4 linked regions of the Drosophila melanogaster genome follow. The gene in region 2 interacts genetically with the main gene of each other region. Each region holds a gene or a part of one and is shown on either strand. Other genes may lie near its edges. The genes, in order: WASp, AP-1mu, Afti and spdo.

The links.
Region 1: of AP-1mu (region 2) and WASp, changing one suppresses a phenotype caused by changing the other (phenotypic suppression), as found in Drosophila melanogaster (one study listed by BioGRID).
Region 3: of AP-1mu (region 2) and Afti, changing one enhances a phenotype caused by changing the other (phenotypic enhancement), as found in Drosophila melanogaster (one study listed by BioGRID).
Region 4: of AP-1mu (region 2) and spdo, changing one suppresses a phenotype caused by changing the other (phenotypic suppression), as found in Drosophila melanogaster (one study listed by BioGRID).

The regions. Positions count from the first base shown.
Region 1 is NT_033777.3:28,828,981-28,833,684, forward strand, and holds the start of WASp (WASp), read right to left. Parts: upstream 3,045-4,704; 5' UTR 2,838-3,044; intron 2,334-2,837; exon of another isoform or gene 2,239-2,333; intron 2,161-2,238; exon of another isoform or gene 2,014-2,160; intron 1,698-2,013; 5' UTR 1,639-1,697; coding exon 1,522-1,638; intron 1-1,521. Other genes in the region: Apc (APC-like), read right to left, coding at 4,255-4,704.
Region 2 is NT_033777.3:9,557,164-9,561,399, reverse strand, and holds AP-1mu (adaptor protein complex 1, mu subunit), read left to right. Parts: upstream 1-1,874; 5' UTR 1,875-2,150; coding exon 2,151-2,972; intron 2,973-3,031; coding exon 3,032-3,490; 3' UTR 3,491-3,688; downstream 3,689-4,236. Other genes in the region: MBD-like (Methyl-CpG binding domain protein-like), read right to left, coding at 1-477, 787-1,128, 1,369-1,559; BckdhA (branched chain keto acid dehydrogenase E1 subunit alpha), read right to left, coding at 3,964-4,236.
Region 3 is NT_033777.3:14,320,642-14,328,596, forward strand, and holds Afti (aftiphilin), read right to left. Parts: upstream 6,049-7,955; 5' UTR 5,641-6,048; coding exon 5,496-5,640; intron 5,438-5,495; coding exon 4,116-5,437; intron 4,058-4,115; coding exon 3,919-4,057; intron 3,609-3,918; coding exon 3,231-3,608; intron 2,647-3,230; coding exon 1,145-2,646; 3' UTR 436-1,144; downstream 1-435. Other genes in the region: ATPsynE (ATP synthase, subunit E), read left to right, coding at 6,650-6,895; spn-B (spindle B), read left to right, coding at 7,570-7,624, 7,685-7,846, 7,908-7,955.
Region 4 is NT_033777.3:30,474,834-30,479,397, forward strand, and holds spdo (sanpodo), read left to right. Parts: upstream 1-1,850; 5' UTR 1,851-1,979; coding exon 1,980-3,341; intron 3,342-3,420; coding exon 3,421-3,756; 3' UTR 3,757-4,016; downstream 4,017-4,564. Other genes in the region: PH4alphaEFB (prolyl-4-hydroxylase-alpha EFB), read left to right, coding at 4,286-4,564.

The sequences.
Region 1 (4,704 bases), about 19 Mb from region 2:
ACAATAACAACATCGGGTTTGCTAAGCTGCAGCTTTGTGTGTTATCACACGATATCGCACAAAGACGGGCAGCATTCGATACGGTGAAAACAAGATATGGTTTGGTGATTGATTGAATATTTTCCACCAGGTAATCTCTTTCTTTATCTCAGAGAGCAGAGCAGGGCAAACGAAAGATGTGGGATTAATGACATAATTTACAAATCCCCGAACGTTTTCATTGACTTGCCCAATACCCGTAGCTTCAGTGAATCAAAAGCAGAGACTAAAAATATGAGAAATGGATTGGTAGTGCCTTTCTGAGTGTCTTCAAAAGGGGCCAACTGCCTTAACCAGCCCACTGGTTGCATTACTTTGGCAGAGTTCAAATGCATTTGGAAATGTTTTGTCAATGGAAAGTTGCGAATTAGCAAAGCGTGAATTGCGAATCGAAATTAGCGATTTTCCCATGTTGTGCACACCATAATTATCCGCACAACGGCCGCCGTTAAATGACCACATTCCAAGTTTCCACTCCAATTTCAGGGCATTCTTATCGCACTTGGCATTGGCCGGTGATTCGCATTGGGCGGGCGGATTGATAAGATAAGGTTCGTCTGTATTTCGCCTCAAATACTATATGTACCCCCACTCTTATCACGACCCAATGGGCCAAACTAATGGTTTCTCTTTCGTTTCGCACCACAATCGGCTTTGGCACCCCAATACTACGAAGGAATAGAGTTGGAAATAAAAAACTAATCAAGAAGTGCAAACAACTGCGCTTGTGGCCTATCAATGCCGGCTCAAGCCGTTTGCTGATAGAGGCTCTAAGAAATGCTAGGTAAATATTAGTAATGTTAACAAAGTCTAACAAATTGCTCTAGTAACACTGGCCAGCACATTCGGACTCTGATCTGAATGAATATTATTTATTCCTTATATACTCCTAATTTCTTAATGAGCATTTAATACGAGAATAGTGCCCAATAAGTTGTAACCTACATATGTATGTATGGGCACCATAAAACATCTGTGTAACAATGATTCATCTTGTTTTTTTTTTGTATAGTACAGAGAACATTAATCTAAATGGTTATCTGCACTGACTCAAGTAGACTTTCCAGCAAAAGAGTATGTCTTTCAATCAAAACCAAAGCTAATAATGTGTACGATACTCCCATGCAAGTTTTATAGCTGACCAACTAACTATAGTGCATAGAACTCTAATTTTGTTCACAGTTTAGCTTCCGGTGCCATCTTTAAATGGGCAAAGAAACCATTCAACTATGTTGGGCAGTGTGCAAGTGAAATTTGGTAAATATGACAGGCAGCTGCCCGTAGACCGTAGAATGATATTATGATATAGGGTTACTGTGCTTCGAGTGAAATTCGCACACGATGGGCGACACTTGAGCCGCAGGAAGTGCTTCATCAAGCCGTGGGATTTGCTCGGCGAAGGCGGAGGAACACAAACCATGTCATTGCTTAATTATTAATCACCCGATTGGGGGCATTATGCATCATCAGTACTCGACTCACCTGGCACTTCTTGCCCAGCAGCTTGAAGACGGCCTCATTCTCCTCCTGGGTGAGCAGCGTACTGGCGGCATTGACCTTCGCCCGTGGACCGTCCTGCGACCTCATTCCGCTGCTCATCTGGCCGGTTTCGTTGGATCTGGGTCTGGTGCTGGATATGGGGATCTGGGCTGGTTTCCCTGCACAATACGGACACAATACGCATTTTATTGTGTGGCGAAAACAATACGCAAATGAACAAAAGCTAAATGTATTAATTTAATATCACAAAACGCTGGGGACCCCGAAAAAGTAAAAAGTTCATAACAATAAAGGCACACGGAGTAACAGTTGAACTTCGATAGAGTGAACAAAAGTTTGGGATCGTAGGGTTGACGATACAATATGAAAAGTTTGAGCTCCCATAAATATACTAAAGAGTTCAGAAACTGTATAATATTTAACGTTTAAATGAATTATTGCAGTCAACGCCTTCGAATATAAAAAGATAACTACACTTGGATAGGCTGCCTATTTTTTTGTACAGTGTACAGCTTGTAAAAACTCCGATCTACAGAGAGTTTGAGCAACGGAGTCCGAAGTGTGTTGCGAATAACCCGATTTGGGATCGAAGAATTATGGTTTTGGGACTGCTGAATCGATTGACAGTATTGTCTTTACGGTTTTGAATGGTTTTCAGCCCGAATTACGGCCAAGAGCGCGAGCGAGAGAGACCGAGACCTGCGCTGGCTATGACGATGTAGCTGGTTATGGTGTCGGCGGGGCTGCGAGCGGATCGCCTGGTCTGAGTCACGGTGCCCGAGAGTCGGAAATCAGAAGCAGAAACAGAAACAGTCAGCCAGCAAGCCAGCCAGCTGCGTTTGAATGTGGGCAAAAGCCAGGCCAGTGGCAAACTCTTCGAAAAGAGCCCTTATCTTTGGCGAAAAGCACTGATTAGGTGTGCGCATGTATCTATGTGTGATACATGCACAGTGGTCTGGGTTACTCAACATTCGGCACTCGCCACAAGCCACCAGCCAATCCACCCCACTGTGCGCCACTCCGTAGCTCCAAGATTTGTGACAACACCTGTCCGTCGTCGCGCCAGGTGGGGTGAAAATGCAAATGTAAATAGACAGACGCTGCTGCGGATTGGGAGTAAGTTCATGGGTTGGGTTGGTTCGGCTTGGATGGGATGGGATGATGTGCTGCCCTACTCAAGGTCTCGAATTTCCCTTGTGAGCTGCTCTGCTGGGGGGGTCGCCCATTGATTTTTTGCGTTTATTTTCGTGCACTGCTCTTCACTCTTTCGTTTTTTTCCCACACACAACACAACACACCACAAAATCTGTGTAGTCTCTGGCCTTGCGGATTCCGGGACTCTTATCGGGAGGCTCTACTGTGCGCGCGTCCGCGTCATCGAGTGCATGGCGTTGAAAACGAGTGTTCCTCGGTTGATTATTCGTCTGTTCCCGGACGCAATGCTAGTTTGTTTATTCATTTATTTTTTTTCACTCCAATTCAATTGCTGCCAGTGTGACCGACCGAAAAAGGCGATAGGCTAAAAATACTATCCTTTCGATAATTTCCTAAAATATGCATCAAGCTCTGCCAAGGCCCTGTGCAGACCATGCTCGAGACTTTTCAATTTTGCCCATCACTAGTTCCGCTTAAAAGTTTATCAAAAAGTTTCAGGCAATTCCGTTAAGAAATCGCGAGTGGAGAGCTGTGGGAATAGTATATTTTTTCATTTATGTTATCTTTTCCGTTAAATTTGATTTTGTTTACCACGCCCGTAAATTCGAATAAATATTTGTTCATCTGGCTTTCAAAATATGTTTTATTTTGATATAAATTATAATCGAGTAAATTCACATTGGTTTAATTTTTTGCTGACAAAAAGCATATTTCGATTTATTCATATTGAAAATGGTTAATCGCATTGAATCGGTAAAAACTAAGTCGCAAATGATGAGCTTAATGCATAAGCTGTTTCCTAAAACAGTTACCCTTAACTTGCTAAATTATATAAAAGAATACTTAAAAAGCAGTGACTAAAAAATGTGAATTTCTTCTCTCTTCAGATATTTGGTGTTTGCATAAGGAAGCCAGGGGCATATTTTAAACTTAGAGTATATTCTCAATAAAGATGTGCAACTATATGATTGTAATTGATTTCAGTAGCTCACCAGTTGGAGGACAGCTCATCTAACTAAGTGTTAAAAAAGTTAAATCAGAACAGACATTCGACTTGGTAAACCTTTCCTAGTTAATGCGACAATCGAATATATAGCATTTATATATATGCCAGTATACATTTTGTATATATTGGGTAGTTGTACACATGTTGAAAGGCCTGATTTTGTGTATATATATGCAATACATTTGGCTACACACGATCGGGAGCATCGGGAGCTTCCTTCTCTGACTGTGATTTGGATAAGTTGAAGTTACTAGGAGTTTGCGCTAACTCTATGCTAAACTGGTTGCTTACAAAGTTTTAGGGTCTACGTATAATGTATAAAGTAAAAGGAGAGTAAAATATGGATTACATAGCGTATGTATATTAACTCCTATCCTAAAAACTCTTTGATTTTGACTCTGACTCTAGCTCGGCTTGTGGATGTGGACCTGTGCGTGTTCGGTTCCTAAAAAATGCTTGACAAATACAGTCCTGTTCCTCTTACAATCTCCACTTCCGTTTTCGCTTTAACTTGGCTAATTTGTGATCCATACTATCCTGAACAAATTAACCCTCTATTTCCGCGCGCCCACCACTGGCAGCTTGGACTTGACTCCTCCAGCGGTGCTGGGGGTATTGTCAAACGTGGAGCTGCGCAGGAGCGTCGGCTTGGTTCCATTTGCGTTGAGCATGTTGGAAGATTTGGTTTTCTGCGTCCTCAGGTTGGATGACGATTGCTTGGTTTTGGCCTCGTCCACTCTCTTCCAGATGTTGGCGATACGACTTTGCGCATGGTTGATCTTGGCCGCAGCTGCTGCGGCTGCACTGCTTCCATTTAGGTTGGAGTTGCTGCGGGATGGTGGAGTAGTGGACGACACGCGGCCGGAGACCACACGTGAGGCAGCGTGAGATTTGCCCGCAGCTAGTCGCAGACTGGTGTTTGCCCTTTGAGGCGTCATTCGGCGGGCCGGCGCCAAGGGAATCCTCTTGGGAGAGCCCGCTTTCGATGGTGACCCACCGCTGGC
Region 2 (4,236 bases):
GCATCCTGCAGCTTTCGCCGCGCAACTCCGACCCGATCCTCCTGTTTGCGTATGTCGTCCTCCGAAATGATCACCGCGTGCATTAGCGGTTGTTCAGGATTCATAAACGCCATGGCATTCTTGGTCAAATCAGCCTTCGTAGAACTCTGGCCGTGTACGCCGGCGTTGAGCATATGCAGGGCCGTGGCCACCGACTGGAGGACGGTCTGTTCGTTGACATTGGGGCCAACGGTGCGTATGGTCTTGGGCAGTGAGATGTCGTCTAGCTCCTCGCCACTGTCGTGGCAGGCGCGTAGTCGTTCCAGTCGCTTCTCCCAGAACAGCTGTTTCGGCTTCTCCCGAGTGCCATGCTTGGGTTCATTCTTCGCTTTGGCGGGATCCTGTTTATGGTTGCGAATCACCGTCACCGGTTGCTTGAAGATCGAGGCAGTCTGTCGAATGGGAGGCACCAGGGAGACATCAGTGCGCAGGGCTCGGCTGTAAGGGATTAAAGATTGGAAATGTATTAGAGAAACGCCTTCAAAAAGCTAAAACACCGAACAGCACATTAGACAAAGCGTAAAGTAAAGCTTTAGCATGCAGAGATGGTGGAACATAAATCTCAGGTGGCACAGAGCTACAGCGTTTTTGAAGACAACTACGAATTGTTTTGCCAATTGTGTGTTTCTTTGGGTATTTTTTCATTTGATGCTTTTTAATTGCCGCAGGCTGTAGACCTTGCGTCCTGGCAAACAAGACATGACACGCTGACATGCAAGAGTCAAGTGCTCATCCACTTGGCTCTACCTGAGTTCGATCTGTTGCTGCTGGCGATTGGCCGTTGATGGTGAAGCAGATGCTGCTGTCGCTGTTGCTGCTGACGAGGCGGTCGCTGCCGGAGGAGCAGCTCCTGCTGCTCCTGCAGCATTGCCTCCTTGACTCCGGGCGAACTTGCGCTTGAGGGCATTGGCCGCCGATCCGCTGGTGGCCCCATTACCGCCCCCGCTTGCTATAGGCAGCGGCATGGCGCTGCAGCGGTACAGCGAAATGGAGGGCGAGGGCAGGGCGCAGTGCGGCATTTTGCCAGGCTGGAAATCAGGGATTGCAATGTCCTGTGGCTTTCCCTCCGCCCTTTTTCCTGTGGGACTGCTGAACAGACACGGCGGTGGATGGATATTTTTGGTGGGTTAGGTGGTAGTTCGTGTGCGTGTGTATACATAGGCGTATGCGTGTGTGTGGTGTATATGGTGTGTGTGTGTGTGGTTATGCGGATGTAATAACAGAAAGGTAGTGAAAGTGATTATAAACGTTTATCCGATTAAACAGCGTGCAGTGTTCCGATTTTAGGTATATAGTAGTCTATATAGTAATTCTGCTCTTCTTCTTTACCTGTAGTAGAAAACATCCACCTTGTTATTGTTGTTGTTGCTGCTGGCTGTGGCACTGCTGTTGTTGTTGCTGCTGGCGTTGTTATTGGCGCTGCTGCCGGACTTTCGGACCTCGTCGCGCTGCCATCCCTTTGGCAGGACACTGCAGTCGACGCGTTTGCGCTCGATTGTGACGCTCGGGTTCATTTGCATGCTCGCCGAAATAAATAATTAACAATTCCACAAAAGCAGCGTCTGGGCTAGCAGTGTGGCCGTACTGCGGATGGCCACAAATGCCGGATGGCACAATAGTGATGCTAGATTACATTCTCCAATATATTTATGATTTGAATTTAAAGGTACCAATGGGAAAATGAAAATAATTTAAAAGGTATTTATTTAAAAACAGAAACCTTAAGATGTTACACCTTGCACATTTTTCATTTCCTTTAAGCTTAATTCGCTAGTTAATCAGCAGTAGACCAATCTCACCTGGCCACACTGCCCAACACCTGATGTGAACATTTCACAGCACTGGTGGGCCAACTAATAAGAAAAAGAAGCAGCAGAAAAGGCGACGTAAGAAATTCCGGAGTTTTCATTCGCATTTTCCAGTCTACGAAACGGAATATGTAAATCCAGCCCATTGATAGACCTAGCCCACTCATCGCCACCTCGCGACAGTTGCCAACTTCCACGCGCAACGCCTGCCGCGAGCAGTAGAACCATCGAAGCGACCTCCCACTCGATCCAATTGGGAATTTTACACCTGGGACAAGTGGCAGCTGCTGGGAACCAAGAGACATGTCTTCGTCGGCCATTTTCGTTCTGGACGTGAAGGGCAAGGTGCTGATATCGCGGAACTACCGCGGTGACAACATCGACATGGCCGTGATCGACAAATTCATGCCATTGCTGATGGAGCGCGAGGAGGAGGGCCTAATCACTCCGATCCTTCAGACGGCGGAGACTACATTTGCCTACATCAAAACGAACAATCTTTATATCGTATCCACGACGCCGCGCAATAAGAACGTTAATATCGCTCTGGTCTTCGTCTTTCTGCACAAGATCGCGCAGGTCTTTGTGGAATACTTCAAGGAGCTGGAGGAGGAGTCCATTCGGGACAATTTCGTGATCATCTACGAGCTGCTGGATGAATTGCTCGACTTTGGCTACCCGCAGACCACCGACTCGAAAATTCTACAGGAATACATTACGCAGGAGGGTCATAAGCTGGAGCTACAGCCCCGCATCCCGGTGGCCGTGACCAATGCAGTATCCTGGCGGTCCGAGGGCATTAAGTATCGCAAGAACGAGGTGTTCCTGGACGTTATCGAGTCGGTGAATCTTCTCGCAAACGCCAATGGCAATGTGCTGCGCAGCGAGATCGTGGGCGCCATTAAGATGCGCGTCTACTTGTCGGGAATGCCAGAGCTGCGACTGGGTCTCAACGACAAGGTTCTGTTCGAGAGCACGGGCCGCGGCAAGTCAAAGTCCGTAGAGCTGGAGGACGTCAAGTTCCACCAGTGCGTGCGGTTGTCACGCTTCGAGAATGACCGGACAATCTCGTTCATTCCTCCGGACGGCGAGTTCGAACTGATGTCCTATCGTCTGAACACGCATGTGAGTATTTTTATGTACTTAGCACCAAAATGCAAGACTAACTAAACCCCTGTTGACAGGTCAAACCCCTGATTTGGATCGAATCAGTGATCGAGCGGCATGCCCACTCCCGTGTGGAGTACATGATTAAGGCGAAGTCTCAGTTCAAGCGAAGATCGACGGCCAACAACGTGGAAATCGTCATACCAGTGCCCGCCGACGCGGACTCACCCAAGTTCAAGACCACCATTGGAAGCTGCAAGTACGCACCGGAGCAGAACGCAATCATCTGGACGATCAAATCGTTCCCGGGTGGCAAGGAGTATCTAATGCGGGCACATTTCGGTCTGCCGAGCGTGGAAAGCGAGGACAATACGGAGGGCAAGCCGCCAATTCAGGTGCGCTTCGAGATTCCCTACTTTACCACGTCGGGCATCCAGGTGCGCTATCTGAAGATCATCGAGAAGAGCGGCTATCAGGCGCTGCCATGGGTGCGGTACATCACGCAGAACGGCGACTATCAGCTACGCACCAATTGAAAGGGGCAACTCCCGTTCCTGCATCATTCCAGCCAAGCTTCAGCGAGTCATCCTGCAACAGGTAGCTTCATCTCCACCCGCGTTTTTGTCTGCGATGCGTTGCGTTAAGTCAAAAGTATATATTTGTATTCGTATTGTTTCAGTATATGTATATTGTATGTAAATCAAATTTAATAAATTTTAACACCTTTTCATAACACCTGCACCAGAGTGGGTCACTTTGTATGTGCAAATTAAGACCTAGGATGCAACCAAGTTTATCCTCTTCGTTGGTCAGAGAAAACCCAAAAACCCAAAGTGTCTAATTTCACATATCCACCGACCCACCTGTACAGATGAGTCATAACAAACGGGTTGAACCCACAAAAAACTGTTTGCCTATTGCTTAATCATAATAAATGCACTTTCGATCGAGTCTCTCGGTTCGTTTTGATTTCTGATTTGTTAGCATCTTTATGGCACCTATCTGGAATCTATTTCTCAAAGTCCTTCAAGGGATAGTGCTCCTTGTGGGCCTCGATATGTTTTTCCAGCTCGCTACGCTGCTCAATCAAATGATCCGGCATCTCCGCGTAGACGCCTTCGAACATCTCACGCCAGTTGGGCTTGAGTTTCTTCTCGGACACTGCGATCTGCTTCAAAACCTTTTTCCTTATGTCCTTGACATATTCGTTTTCGACAGTCTCGTCAAACCAGCCTTTGTGCACCATGTAGCGCTTAAGCTTGGATATTGGGTGCTCCACCGA
Region 3 (7,955 bases), 4.8 Mb from region 2:
GGAATGCATGGGAGTTCTTCTATCAACTAACAAATCCTATTTCATATACAACACGTTAACTATGTTTGCTTGGTTAGTTCGCTTTCCTGTCGCTTGTTATAAGTACACAATATAGAAAAAATTCGCATCAGGCGGGTTGGGTTTTCATCCATGTGGTGGTGGTGGCCCGCAATCGCATTGGAGTATTTGTTATGGATATACAAAAGGGGAAGTTCGCCGCTAGTGGAATGCATTTGTAGGCTTTGCCGCAGGGATTAACTGATGATATTCCTCAGATAGGCGGAGTTTTCCGATTTAGGGTTCTAACTTTGGGGTTGATTAAAGCTAAAATCATCATGGAACTAATAGTTTTACATTTTTAAAAGTAATGCCGATTTTTTCCTTACTTGGGATACTTCCGAAATCCTTGTTATTAATTTGTATCTTTTCTTTTTTGGTCATCTATGATAAATCTTATGTTGTTATATTGATATGACCGCATAGAGATATTGCATGCTATCGGATGCATAAGCTTAAACCTTAAAATCTCGCAGGATTTCAGAAATATCCCTTAAATTACATAATTTCACTGGTGTGCGGTATTCTTTTTCGTTTTACTTTACAATTCTTCTAGAGTTTTTTGACTTATTTACCCAATAATTCGAATTCTAAAAGTATATCCGATCATTTAAATAATATTAGATAAAAACAAAGAATTTTTCAAGCATACTAACAGTTTTTTCGCTCTACAAAATATTATTTTTCAAAAGTATAATTTTTTTCGTCAAATTAAGTAAAACATAAATTTAGAATCAAACTATAGCACAAAATGGTTACTTGTTTGTTTCGTTCTAAATCCTGATTTTTACGCCTAAGACTACAACATGCATGCACAACAACAACAACAATTATGCCAACGACAAGGTTAACAACAACGACAACAACATGGAACACAGCTTGCCTCAAAACTACAATGTGTGACGGTTCGGATTATGGTGAATATCAGACGGATTCATAATACTGACTGGCTACCCGGGTGCGCGATCGATCCTTTCGCCTATGTGAGGATGGTGGCCTCGCCGCCACCCAGTGGGCGAGGAGCGCCCACATGCGGACGCTGCTGCTGCTGCTGGAGCCGCCCACCGCCCACCCTCAGCTTCTTGTGTCATTTCTTGCCACCGAAAGTGGGTTTCGGTAGCGCACCCATGAACGCACCAGCATTTGTGGGCAAGGCCGGTGCAACGAAGCTGAGATCGGGGATCAGGGAGATGCGTGGAGCCACCTTGGCGTTGCCGATTTGGAACTGCTGCCGCTGATGCTGCTGCTGGTAGGTGGCACCCACACCCAATCCTCCAGACACGGGTGCAGTCGAGAAGTCGTGCATGATGTGTATTTGCTGTGGAATGGCTGGCACATTGTTGTTATTGCTGCTGCTGGTGCTGCCCTTGGGCACTAGATTGCTATGAGGCTGTTGCTGCAGCTGCTGCTGCGCCTGGTACAAACTCAAGGGATTGTTGTAGAAATTAGCGCTCTGCCACGCACCGGAATTGAATTGTGGAGCCGGTCGTGCTGGCGGAGTACTGCTCACAAAATCCGACCAATCATCTTCTTTGGGAGCAGCTGGTTTCCTAGCGTTGCTGTTGACTATATTATTGTTGTTAGCAATTGCGTTTTGCTGATGATGCGGTTGCTGTTGGGTGACTGGAACAGAGACAAAGTCCGACCATTCATCGTCTTCTTGAGGCTGAGACTGAGCTGGCGTGGAAGGAGCTGGTTTCTTGGCCACCGAAGCGCTTATGGTGAGCGGTTTGGCCTGCGAGGAGAACAACTCCTCTATCCTGGCCATTTCCTCGGCATTTATGCTAGACAGAGCATTGTCGCCCCATTCAATAGTTGCAGCTGGCTTCTTTGCCAGCGGAATGGCTTGGGGCAGCAGAATAGCCGGACTAAGGATCATCTGTTCGCCAAAAGTGGGTGTATCAATTCGAGACCTTGGCGCCGGCATAGATTGAAAATCACTAAAGTCGTCATCTTCCGTCGTCTGTGGTGGCAACTGAAAGCTGCTGGCAGCTCCATTGCCACTCAGTTTGCTGGGCGAATCCAGACCAAATGGGGGTTTGTACTCCACGTCGCGATACTCCTTCTTCACCACCGTCTCATCGATGATAATGCCCGTCGCAGCCATCTCGTAGTCGAAATCAATGGGCGCTAGTGTGGTGGTCTTGGCCACCGCCGTATCCGATTTGGAGGGCGTATAGATATGGGTCTCCTTCAGCGGCACCGAATAGCTGGCCATCGAGCTGCCCACGATCTCCTCCTGAGCTGGCGCTGCGGCCGGAGGAGTGGTCCTCAAATCAAACTGCTCCGGCTCCGACCGCTGCTGATGCAGCTGCTCACCGCCGTTGAGTTTGTGGGCAGGGCTGTCTGCTGATAGAGTAGTCGGTAGCGTCGCTGCTGCTGCAGCAACAGCTGCTGCTGATGCCGCTGCTGTGGATTCAATATGGTTCGATTCGGGGCTGGGGACTGCAGTTGGCTGGTGGCTATGACTCGGTCGCTCTTCGCCGTCGGAATTGCTGGCGGAACAGGAGCCGGTGGAGCCTTCCCCATGAGACGGGCCAGTCCGCGTTTCAGTTTGGCTCGCCGTTGTTGCGGCGGCGTTTTCCAATCCTGTGCGAAGGAAAGAAAACAATTACTTGGCTGTCATGAATGAAAACTATGAGATAAACAAAGATAATTAATTAGTTATTCGGCTATAATCATCTGTTATGTTGCAGATAACTAAAAAAACACTGTGCTTATGAAAGATATGGAATGGATATGGATACTAATCTTGCATTAATCATTTTATTTTACTAGATACATTGTATCTTTTATAGAATCAAAGAAATCAGAAAATGGTTACATTTCAAGCATTACTTTTAGTTACCAGATTTAGCAACACATCAGATGATGGCTTAGTTTAGAGACAATATTTAGGTATTAGTATGATCAACTGTATCTAGCTAAGTAAAATGTGAAAATGAAGGGAACTCTTGGGCGGGCTTCAACTACTTGTGCTAGAACTGAGCTGGCTGAGATTGGATGCGTTGTGCCAAAGTAACAAGAACTGGGGGAACTGTGGATCGGTAGGACGGTACGGGTAGATAGAGAGATAGAGCTGAGAAGTATATAGAGAATCGAAACTGAACTGAACGAACCAAAAAAGAGTGGAGATTCAACTACAACACACGCACAGAGCCAACGAAACTTACTAAAATCCAGCAAGGCGTCGTGAGCAGTGAGGTTTGTGTTAATTGTTATTGTCATTGTTGCAGTATTTTTTGCATGATTGTTGTTAAGATTGTTGGGATTGTTATTATCGTTATTATTGTTGTTGCAGATGGTGGCAAAATGTGTGAGTGATGGAGAGTGGTGCAAATCGATTGTCAAATTGTGATCGTTATGGGTCATCAAATCCATCACAGGTGGCATACAATCCAGTTGATCAACGGGTGCAGCAACGTCGTTATCACCATTATCGTTGTTGTTATTGGTGTGGGAGTTAGAGGTAACAAGATTTATTTTATCAGCATTAGCCACCACCGTTAGTTGGTCTAGTTGTTCCAATTGTAATGTCTGTACATGTGATTCTAAATACAATTTATCGTAAGGATAAACTTTTTGATTGTTTGTTGAGATAGTTAGAAGTAATGTGGTCACAAGGAAAAACAAGGCAAACGAAAATCAATAAGAATATATAGAAAGGAGCAGCCAATCGAACGGCAGGCCAATCCGGGAAGCGTGTGTCAATAGGATCGGGAAATAGGCAACGAAAAGCGTTTGAAAGTAAAGCGAGCGTTAGGCGATAGGGTGGCAATTTCTCGATTTACGAAACTTGTGTAGCGGTTAATTTGCGGCAACTAAGTGGAGCAATCTCGCAGAGACTCTAAGGACACTCACCCTGGTAGCTGGTGGAATTGGAAATGGGCTCCAGGCTGCTTGCGGCGCCGGTTGATTGAGGTTTCAGCGGCTTCAGCGGATCAAAGCTCAGGTTGGCAGCAAAACGTGGCATCGATGAGTTCCACTTGTCGCCGAAGAGCTGGAAGTTTATGAATTTCAGTTATTTGAAATACATTTTGAAGCCCTATCTAACTTACTATATTCCTTGAATCGATGCCCAGCGATCGAACAAGGGCGTGTCTCATTTCCGAGCTGCTCCATTGGTAATCAAGGGCTTGGGCATGCTCTATGGCACCAAAATTGAATCGCTGGCACTGAGCCAAAGGCCTGCGATTGTCCATACTTTTGCTGTCCAGTTCCGTTGGTTGTGGAAACATCATATCAAGGACTGGCTTAACCCTTTCATCTATGCTCAGATGGACAGCAGCTGGCGGCGGTGGCGGAGGTACAGAAACAGGAGTCACTACGGGCGCGGCGAAGTCGCCAAAATCATCGTCGTCTTCGCTTTGACCGTGGTTTCCATTCGCAGGAGTGGCAAACTCCTGAAAATCATCGAAGCCATCATCGGTCTCTGCAGGAGGTAACTTAGAGGATTCTTCTGTGCTAGGAGCCGTCTTAACCTCTAGAGGTTGAGATTCCGTTCGGGAATTGATTGCTAAGGAAGGTGTCTCAAAGGCAGACGTTGAATTCTCCGTGATTTCTAGTTGGGGTTCTGCTGCTGAGAAATCCGCAAAGTCACCGAAGTCATCATCATCTTCTTGCTCTTGCATTTCGGGAACAATTTCTTTGTGTACTAAGTCTTTTGGCGTCGCATCAAGATTTGTAAATGAATATGTATCACTATTTGCTGGTTCACCCCATTGGTGAGGGGATTCCTCCTGATTTGGAGGATTTGATAAGCCACGGCTTTGATTTTCCATAGGCTTTTCTAAGGTATTTGAACTTTCCTCCTGGGCTTCCAAACTTCTAAAGCTTTCTTCTGGCTGGGAGGTATTCTCTACGTATTCTCCTTTCCCTGTATCCACATTCTCCTCCGAAAAGCCTTCTCCATATGGTAGGGTTGGAGTGGCCAATACCTCTATGGCAAAGAAATCCACAGCTCCCTCGCGTATAAATAGTTCTTTGGGCTTCTTTGGCGAGCACTCCTCGTCGCTGTCATCGGACACATCCTCCAGCGTGACTTGGTGGCTGAGGATATGGGCTTTGGTTGTTTGCATAGCCGGCGGAGCAACTGCACTAGTCTCCGCAACCGGTGAGAGTGTGGAGGCGGCAGAAACGCTTTCCGTGGAATAGAGACTTAGACTGTCCAACTTAAGGGAGGGCACATGCTCCTCCAGTTCCTCATCATCCAGTTCCAAGCTCAACGGAGGCGGCGTCGGCGGTGCTGTTTCCTCGAAAACATCGTAATCCATCTTCTGTTTCACCTGGTAATTAAATGCCTCGACGGTTTGTTTGTCTTCCAGCAAATCAGGTGGCTTTTCTCGAAATTCCTCCACGGGATCTGGTGGTGGAGGGGGTTCTAAAAAGCGAGAATTAACTGAGTATCACTTTGAGATTCGATAAATATCTAAGCTTGCCTTTCGAGCTGCTGACTAAGCCAAAATCTGAGTATTCGTCACCCTCGTCCAAATGGATGGTGGATTGTAAACCGGAATCGTCGTCTTCCTCACCAAAATCGATGGGCGGGGGGGTGCTGCAGAGCAGCGGTGGTACATTCACCATAATGCCAGCTGCAAAATTCAGTAAAAGGATCCCCTAAAATTCACTTCCTGCTTCAAGAAGAACAACAAAAACGCTGGGAACGGTTCGATCTTCTATCTCTCTCGCTCCACTTTATCACTGTGTGTGTGGTGTGTATGTGTGACGCAGGTGTGGAGGGCCTGCAAGTGTGTGTGTGTGTGTTAGCCACTCAAGGTCTGTGTTGGAATTTTCTTGTTTGCATTTAACACGCGTCAATTTTGTTGTGTCTCTGTATTATGTCTAATTGTCGCCTTATTGGTGGCTCTAAAAACAGATTTGCCGAATTTGCAAGTCGCGTTTTATCTGCAATTAGCCATGTTTTCCAGAAAACAATACTTTTTCCTCTGCCCACAGTGTGAACGTTTAACTTTTGGCCAACCGACAGTGCTGAAAAACGTTGCGCAACATTGATAACATACAAAATTTGAATCTTATCTTTTTCAATTCCCATTTTCGATTTAAATCATTATCCATAGTTCAGATAGAATAGTTATATTAGTTATATTTCTATAATAGATTTTTATTCTTTCCAATTCTTTTACCGTTAAAATTGTATTTGAAAATTATTAGTAACAAGAGTAAAATATACATGAAAGTCTAGGCTGCAGTATGTAATACGTCAAATTTTGTTGGGACACTAAACAACAAATAGTCGTCATAAAGGCTTCTTTTAAATTGTTATGATATTTTCCACAATTTCTGCATACTTTTTTAAGCTTGCTGGCAACGCCGCCACCGTACCAATACAACTATCGATAGCCGCCTGTCAGTTTTGACAGCTGTTTTAAGGTTATACTGCGCTGCCGTTGCAATCGCTCCACCAATTTGGTAATTTTGCTTATTTAACATCAAATATTGCATAAAACTAGGAAAACCAGGAATCTGTAAAGTGGAGCGAGACGGGGAACGCTATTAAGGAAGTCGGATAACTAAAGTACATCCTTTTCTTGCAGTTCACGGTCGGACAATTACATAACTTGAAGAAGAAACCATGTCGCAGGCTCCCGTTCGCGTTTCCCCGCTGATCAAGTTCGGCAGATGGTCCCTGCTCCTGGTGGGCATTGCCTACGGCGCCGCCCACCAGAGCCGCCTGTCCAAGAAGGAGGAGAAGTTGCGCGAGATCGAGGCACAGCAGAAGGCCGTCCGTGATGCCAAGCTCGCCGAGGAGAAGAAGCGCAGCGCAGAGGCTGAGGCCCGTGCCTTGGCTGAGCTTTCGAAGCCCACTCCCAAGCACTAGGATCCTTCAGGATGCAACATCCGCAGTTCCCTTAGCTTAAAAACATTGAAAAACCACAACATTTACACACGAAGTTCGCCCAAAAGGAGGAGCATCATCGATAGTGGAGCCACCATCTATCGATCACTGACTATCGTTTTTGTGTTTTCCTCTGATGCTTGTGCAAAAAACAGAATGTTCGAAATTAAATGATTGAAACAAAACCATTATGTAAATACTCTCAAGTGTTTCGTGTTTGTGATTAAGTGGTGTTCACTGGAAATATATTTATATTAGCATAGTGTTTGGATAGGAGAGGATTGAGAGAATTTGAGAGGGTTTGAGCTCCAAATTTGACTAGGAAGTACATATAAATATTTTTGCAAATTGATTATCAATAATTTTCCTAAATTTTGTTTTAAATCTTTTTTGATAAACAACAACTGATAGTTTACCTTATTGGATGCCCACTGTAGTTGCCAGCTGATTGGCCCACTTAAGATATTGGCGCCAACAGCTGATTTCAACCGGCGTTTATTTACACTTTCAATTCGCTCGCAAGTCGTCGCATGGCTCGGCTGTTTGATCAATAATCCCCCGGAATACTTCCAATTCCGGAGGTGTTGAGACACCTTTCGTGTTTCGGGGAGCCATTATATCACGCAATCCCATCGAGGACATGCCATCGCATCGCGATGACAAACTTTCTGGATCAATTGCCCAAGCATATCAGAGAAATCGCCGAGCAGGGTAAGAGTTTTGGGGTTCCAACAACTTTATTCAAGAGCCAACTAAATTCCTGTACTCCAGTTAATGTTCTCGCACCGGAGGAGGTGCTGACAACTCCCAAGGTGCGATTCCTGGACACCCGCCAGCAATCGCTGCACACAATCGTGCGAAAATGCACTCCGGATGATGTTAGGGTGCTCAAGGATGCGGCAGCCAAGTGGCTGGCAGAGATGCCCCAGTCAGGTGATTCTCAGACTAATGTATAAGTAGCCTCTTGTGTTTAGTTTGCCACTATTTATTACAGCGGATTCCCTCTTCAAGCCGCTTGTCAATGTTAGATGGTCGCGGGTGT
Region 4 (4,564 bases), about 21 Mb from region 2:
ATAGACGTTCAGGTAGTCGCTTGCATTCTGGTAATTACTTTTGCCACGTGCGAGGGCAGCTGTTGCACGCACCTATGCTGTTTTACTACAACTGAGTGTGTATCTGTATCTGTAAATGTATCTGAGGAGGCGCCCCTCACACACATGACTGCAGATACATATCTCTTGCTTATATGCGAAGGGGATCTATGTGGCGTATATATATGACAACTGGCAGCGGAAATAATATGGGGGAGAGAGCAGGGTGCAGGATGCGGTGAGACAACTCCCCTAATCAAATAATGCCAGTCGCACTCAGGACTCAGGATTCAGGATCTATCTTTGCGGCTGTTTCTCTGCTGTTCAGTTCAGTTGAGTTTAGTTGAGTTTCTGTTCCTGCATTTGTACCTTGGTTGTGTCACAACAAAGGACGAGACAGGATCCTCGCAAACAGCTGACAGCTGTGTGCCTGCCGTCTCTGTCTGTTATCCTTGTGCGCTGTCATTGCCCCTGCCTTTGAGTATCTGCATCCGAGTATCCTTCGGATACTGTGCAGAAACCCCGCACTCTAGTCGCGTGCCGTCTGCCGGCGTTTAACTTTATATGCATCTTAAATTTTCCCACCGACCAGCTGTTGGTGCCTCCAATTTCTGGCTAATCCGCTTGACAAATGCCCCCGGCTGCGCTGATTTGCTTCTGGCCAAAAGGCAATTAAGTTGGCCACCACAAAAGGACAACACGCGTGCATCCAACCTGCGGGCTCAAAGGCATGTACATATGTATGCACGTGGGAGGCGAAATCCGGATAAAGTTGACCCACGAACTCTTCGTTTTTTATCGTTTTTCTCTGACAACCAAATGTAACGGTCGCTTGGGCAACAAAAATCCGGGGAGGGCTGCCTTTAGGGAAGGTTTTTGGTCTGCACAAACATCAGAGCTGAGCAAGGATTATTTTTAAGAAGCAAGCGCGACTGAAGGGTACCCCTTAAAATAAATAAGCGAAGTGAAATAATTTAATCTCTTAAGTTCTTTTGTTTCATTTCTTTCTGACTGAAGCTAAGCTCTACTTTATGGCTTGACGCTTTTACGTCAGAAATATGTGCATATTAAACTAAACTGTTTTGTGAAAGCATTCATTAAAAGTTTGTTTTAATGGTGCCGATATACGGATGCTAACCATATATAATAAAAGCACGATATGTTTTCAACAAACAATAAACTATTTTAAATATTTCGGTCGAGAAACAAAGCAGCGGATGAACAAAAGGAACAAGAACAACTAGTTCTTATATGATTATAATAAAGAAAAAACACTTTTATGATAGTTAAATTATGTTGAATTCTCGGTGATGACAGTGTGCTGATATGATCTGCTCTACACTGGTTATGTTCGAGTATAATCTTAGGTGGATTTAAAACACATTCATCATACCCCTCAACTCGCCAACTAAGTGGTAGCAAAACAGAATTAAAGTCGCAAGGGAGCGCATATGAGTTGGTAAATAAGAATTAAAAACGCCGATAAACGCGAACCGAATAAAACGCCGGCTGCTCCTGCAATTCGCCAGGGGTTTTTAGGTTTTGGTTAGGATCGCGTTGAGACGTCTCAGTTGGAAGTGAAATGCGTTTCAACCCCCGTTCGTTCGTCGAGCAGCAGGAGCAGATGTTTCTGGGTTTTCACATTCGGTTCGGTTCCAATGGCCTAATGGAACGCGCCAAACACAGTCGGTCATTGTACGGGTGTACGGGTGTCTTATGTACAAGTAAATGGTGTTTTATGGGGTGGGGACTCGTATCGGAGCACGATCCACTCGACTGCGCGCCGGCGCAGGAAGTGGAGGAAGTTGAGGAGCTGCCGTCTGGAACGGCTCTCTAGATCAGTCGAGTCGCAGTTGCCGAGGCGAGCGGATCGTGAACAGTGCTACGAACCCAAAGAAAACCCAAAGTAGTGAAAGAACACCCCTAAGAGGTTGTGGAATTGCCACCAGTACAGTGCCAACATGTCGCAGCATAACTATACGAACCCGGCCTTCTGCCAGAACAGCGAGTATTACCCGGTGCCCAGCGGCAACTCGTCGCGAGTGGAGTCCATCTACAACAGAAGCCTCCAGATGAACTTTGGAGCGGCTCCTCCGCGCGCCACTCGAGATCCCCGCGAGGGTCCACTGCGAATGCAGCGTAGCATGTCCACGCGATCGGTGACGCGGAAACAACACCAGCAGCAGCAGCAGCAGCAACACCAACAGCAGATACACCAGCAACACCTGGCTCAGCAGCAGCAACACCAGCCGCAATCCTCTAGTGGTCGCTATGCCTTGGTTCCCCTAGAGGAACTGAACAGCAGTAGGGCCAGTAGATACGCCATAGTTCCAGGACAGGCGGCACAGAGACTGGCCCGATCACAGGATAATCTGGATCGCTATGGCTCCAGACATGGATTGCACGAAGAGGAGGAGCCTCACTCCTTCCACGAGGAACCCCATCAGGAGACCCAGTTTGCCAGCTTGCCACCGATACTTAATTTGCCGCCCAAGCCCAGGAATATTAACAACAATACCAATGCCAATCAAACCCAGATTAAGCATGCTTTTAGTAGCGACTTCGGCAGCAAGACCTTCTTGATAGTGGATAAGAATAGCAACCAGAGGTACCAGATGGTGCCCACCGCCGAGGACGAGGAGCTGGTAGACGAGAACCAGGAGATCATACAGATGCACAATGGCCGCGCCCATCGATATGCAGTGGTGCCCACGGATGCGGACGACGATGATCTGGCGGAGGAGCAGGAGCAGCAGGAAACCTGCCTGAGCAACATGGAATTGAGCAGGCAGTACGCAGCGAGGACCTCAACGCCGCAGCAAAAGAATGCGGCTGCCGCTACGAGGGCCCTGCACGAGCTCCTGACCACGCCCAGGAAGATGCAGCCGCCTCCGCGATTGGCGCACTCAACGCCCCGGAACGCCGCCCACCACGAGCAGCTGCAGCTGGAAAGGCGCTTGGAGATCTACAAAAGCCAACAGATCTACCAAAGCCAACAAGTTGGAGCGGTAGTAGGAGTCCCTCCAACCTTGCCACTTCGCCAGAATCGACTCTCCCCCCAGAGACTTCACTACGAGACCGTGAAGCCGCTTCCCATGCAGATCGCCGATCGATCCATGGCCGTCATCAGTCCCAGGGTCCAGGAGCAGGGGCAGGAGCAGGAACGGGAACAGGACATGAGCAGCATCCAGGGAAAGGGCAAGAAAAACAGCTCCTATCCGCAGAAGATGGCCAATGCCACCATTACCTTGGCCGTTGTCTCCCTGATGCTCGTCTTGGGCAGCACCATGAATGCGGGGCTCATCATCTACATGATAGCACACGTAAGTACTCTCAAATACTTTTAAAGATATTCATTTTGTCCATGGAAACATTTGAATAACACTTTTTCTTCGCCTACAGCTCGGAAAGTCCTTTTACCTGCAGTTTAGCCTGGTGGCCTCCTTCTCCGGAATGGGACTCGGCTTCCTGGGATTCAAGTCGCGCCACTGCGAGTGGCTGCCGAACAGGAGCTATAGTTCCGGCTATATCCTGGTCACCGTATTTTGCCTATTCAAGTCCTGCGGATTGCTTGTGATACTCGTGGTGGACCCCTTCCCCGGATTTCCTGTCCACGATGTGACCACTGGCGTCATCCTTGGACTGTCGACTTTCACCATGTTCTTCATCGGATTGGGAGTGCTGGGCAGCTTGTGGTGCCACCGACCTCCGCCAGACAACCGCGTCAACGTGGTCTAATACCCTGGAAATAGTTAATCCTAGACTCTAATTAGTTGTACACCATCCACTTCGAATTCAAGAACTTGACACACCGAACGGCTAAAAGACCAAAAACAAGAATTAGATTTATAATCAGCGGAAGATCATCATCCCCCAAACGACTGTATATAACAAGTGGGTTGTACCTATTGCTAACACTTAGTTTGCTTAACTTATTGTTCACCTAAGTATAAGTATGTTATGGAATAAGAATAAAATAAAGGCACGTAGATACCAGCACAGCATTTTGTATCAATAAGGAAATGGTTAAAGTGTTCAATTAGGTTAGTTCTTTAACAATCAAAAATATATATATGGTGAATAAACACTTTCAAATATAGGTCGAGTGTTAAAATTATAGATTCAGCGTCGTGATACTTAACTTAATTGAGTAAACAATTATTTTTCAGCTTTCAGCACCTTTTAACTATTGAAATACGGTGCATATTTTAAAGCAATGTGTTTTGCTCTTCTGTCTACTAAGTTTTGCCCTCTCTTTAAATTGCAGCAAAATGGACGAGTACCAGAGGGAGCACTCGGATGCCTCCCATGATATAACCGCCTATGTATCCAATCCAATCAATGCGTACCTGCTGACTAAGCGGCTAACCACCGATTGGCGTCAGGTGGAGAACCTCATGGAGCACGACGTGGGCACGGATTTCCTGCAGAACATCACCCAGTATCGCAGCCTCCTGAAGTTCCCCTCCGACGAGGACCTCAATGGCGCGGCGGTGGCCTTGCTCCGCCTGCAAGACACCTACCAACTGGACACTTCGAGTGTGGC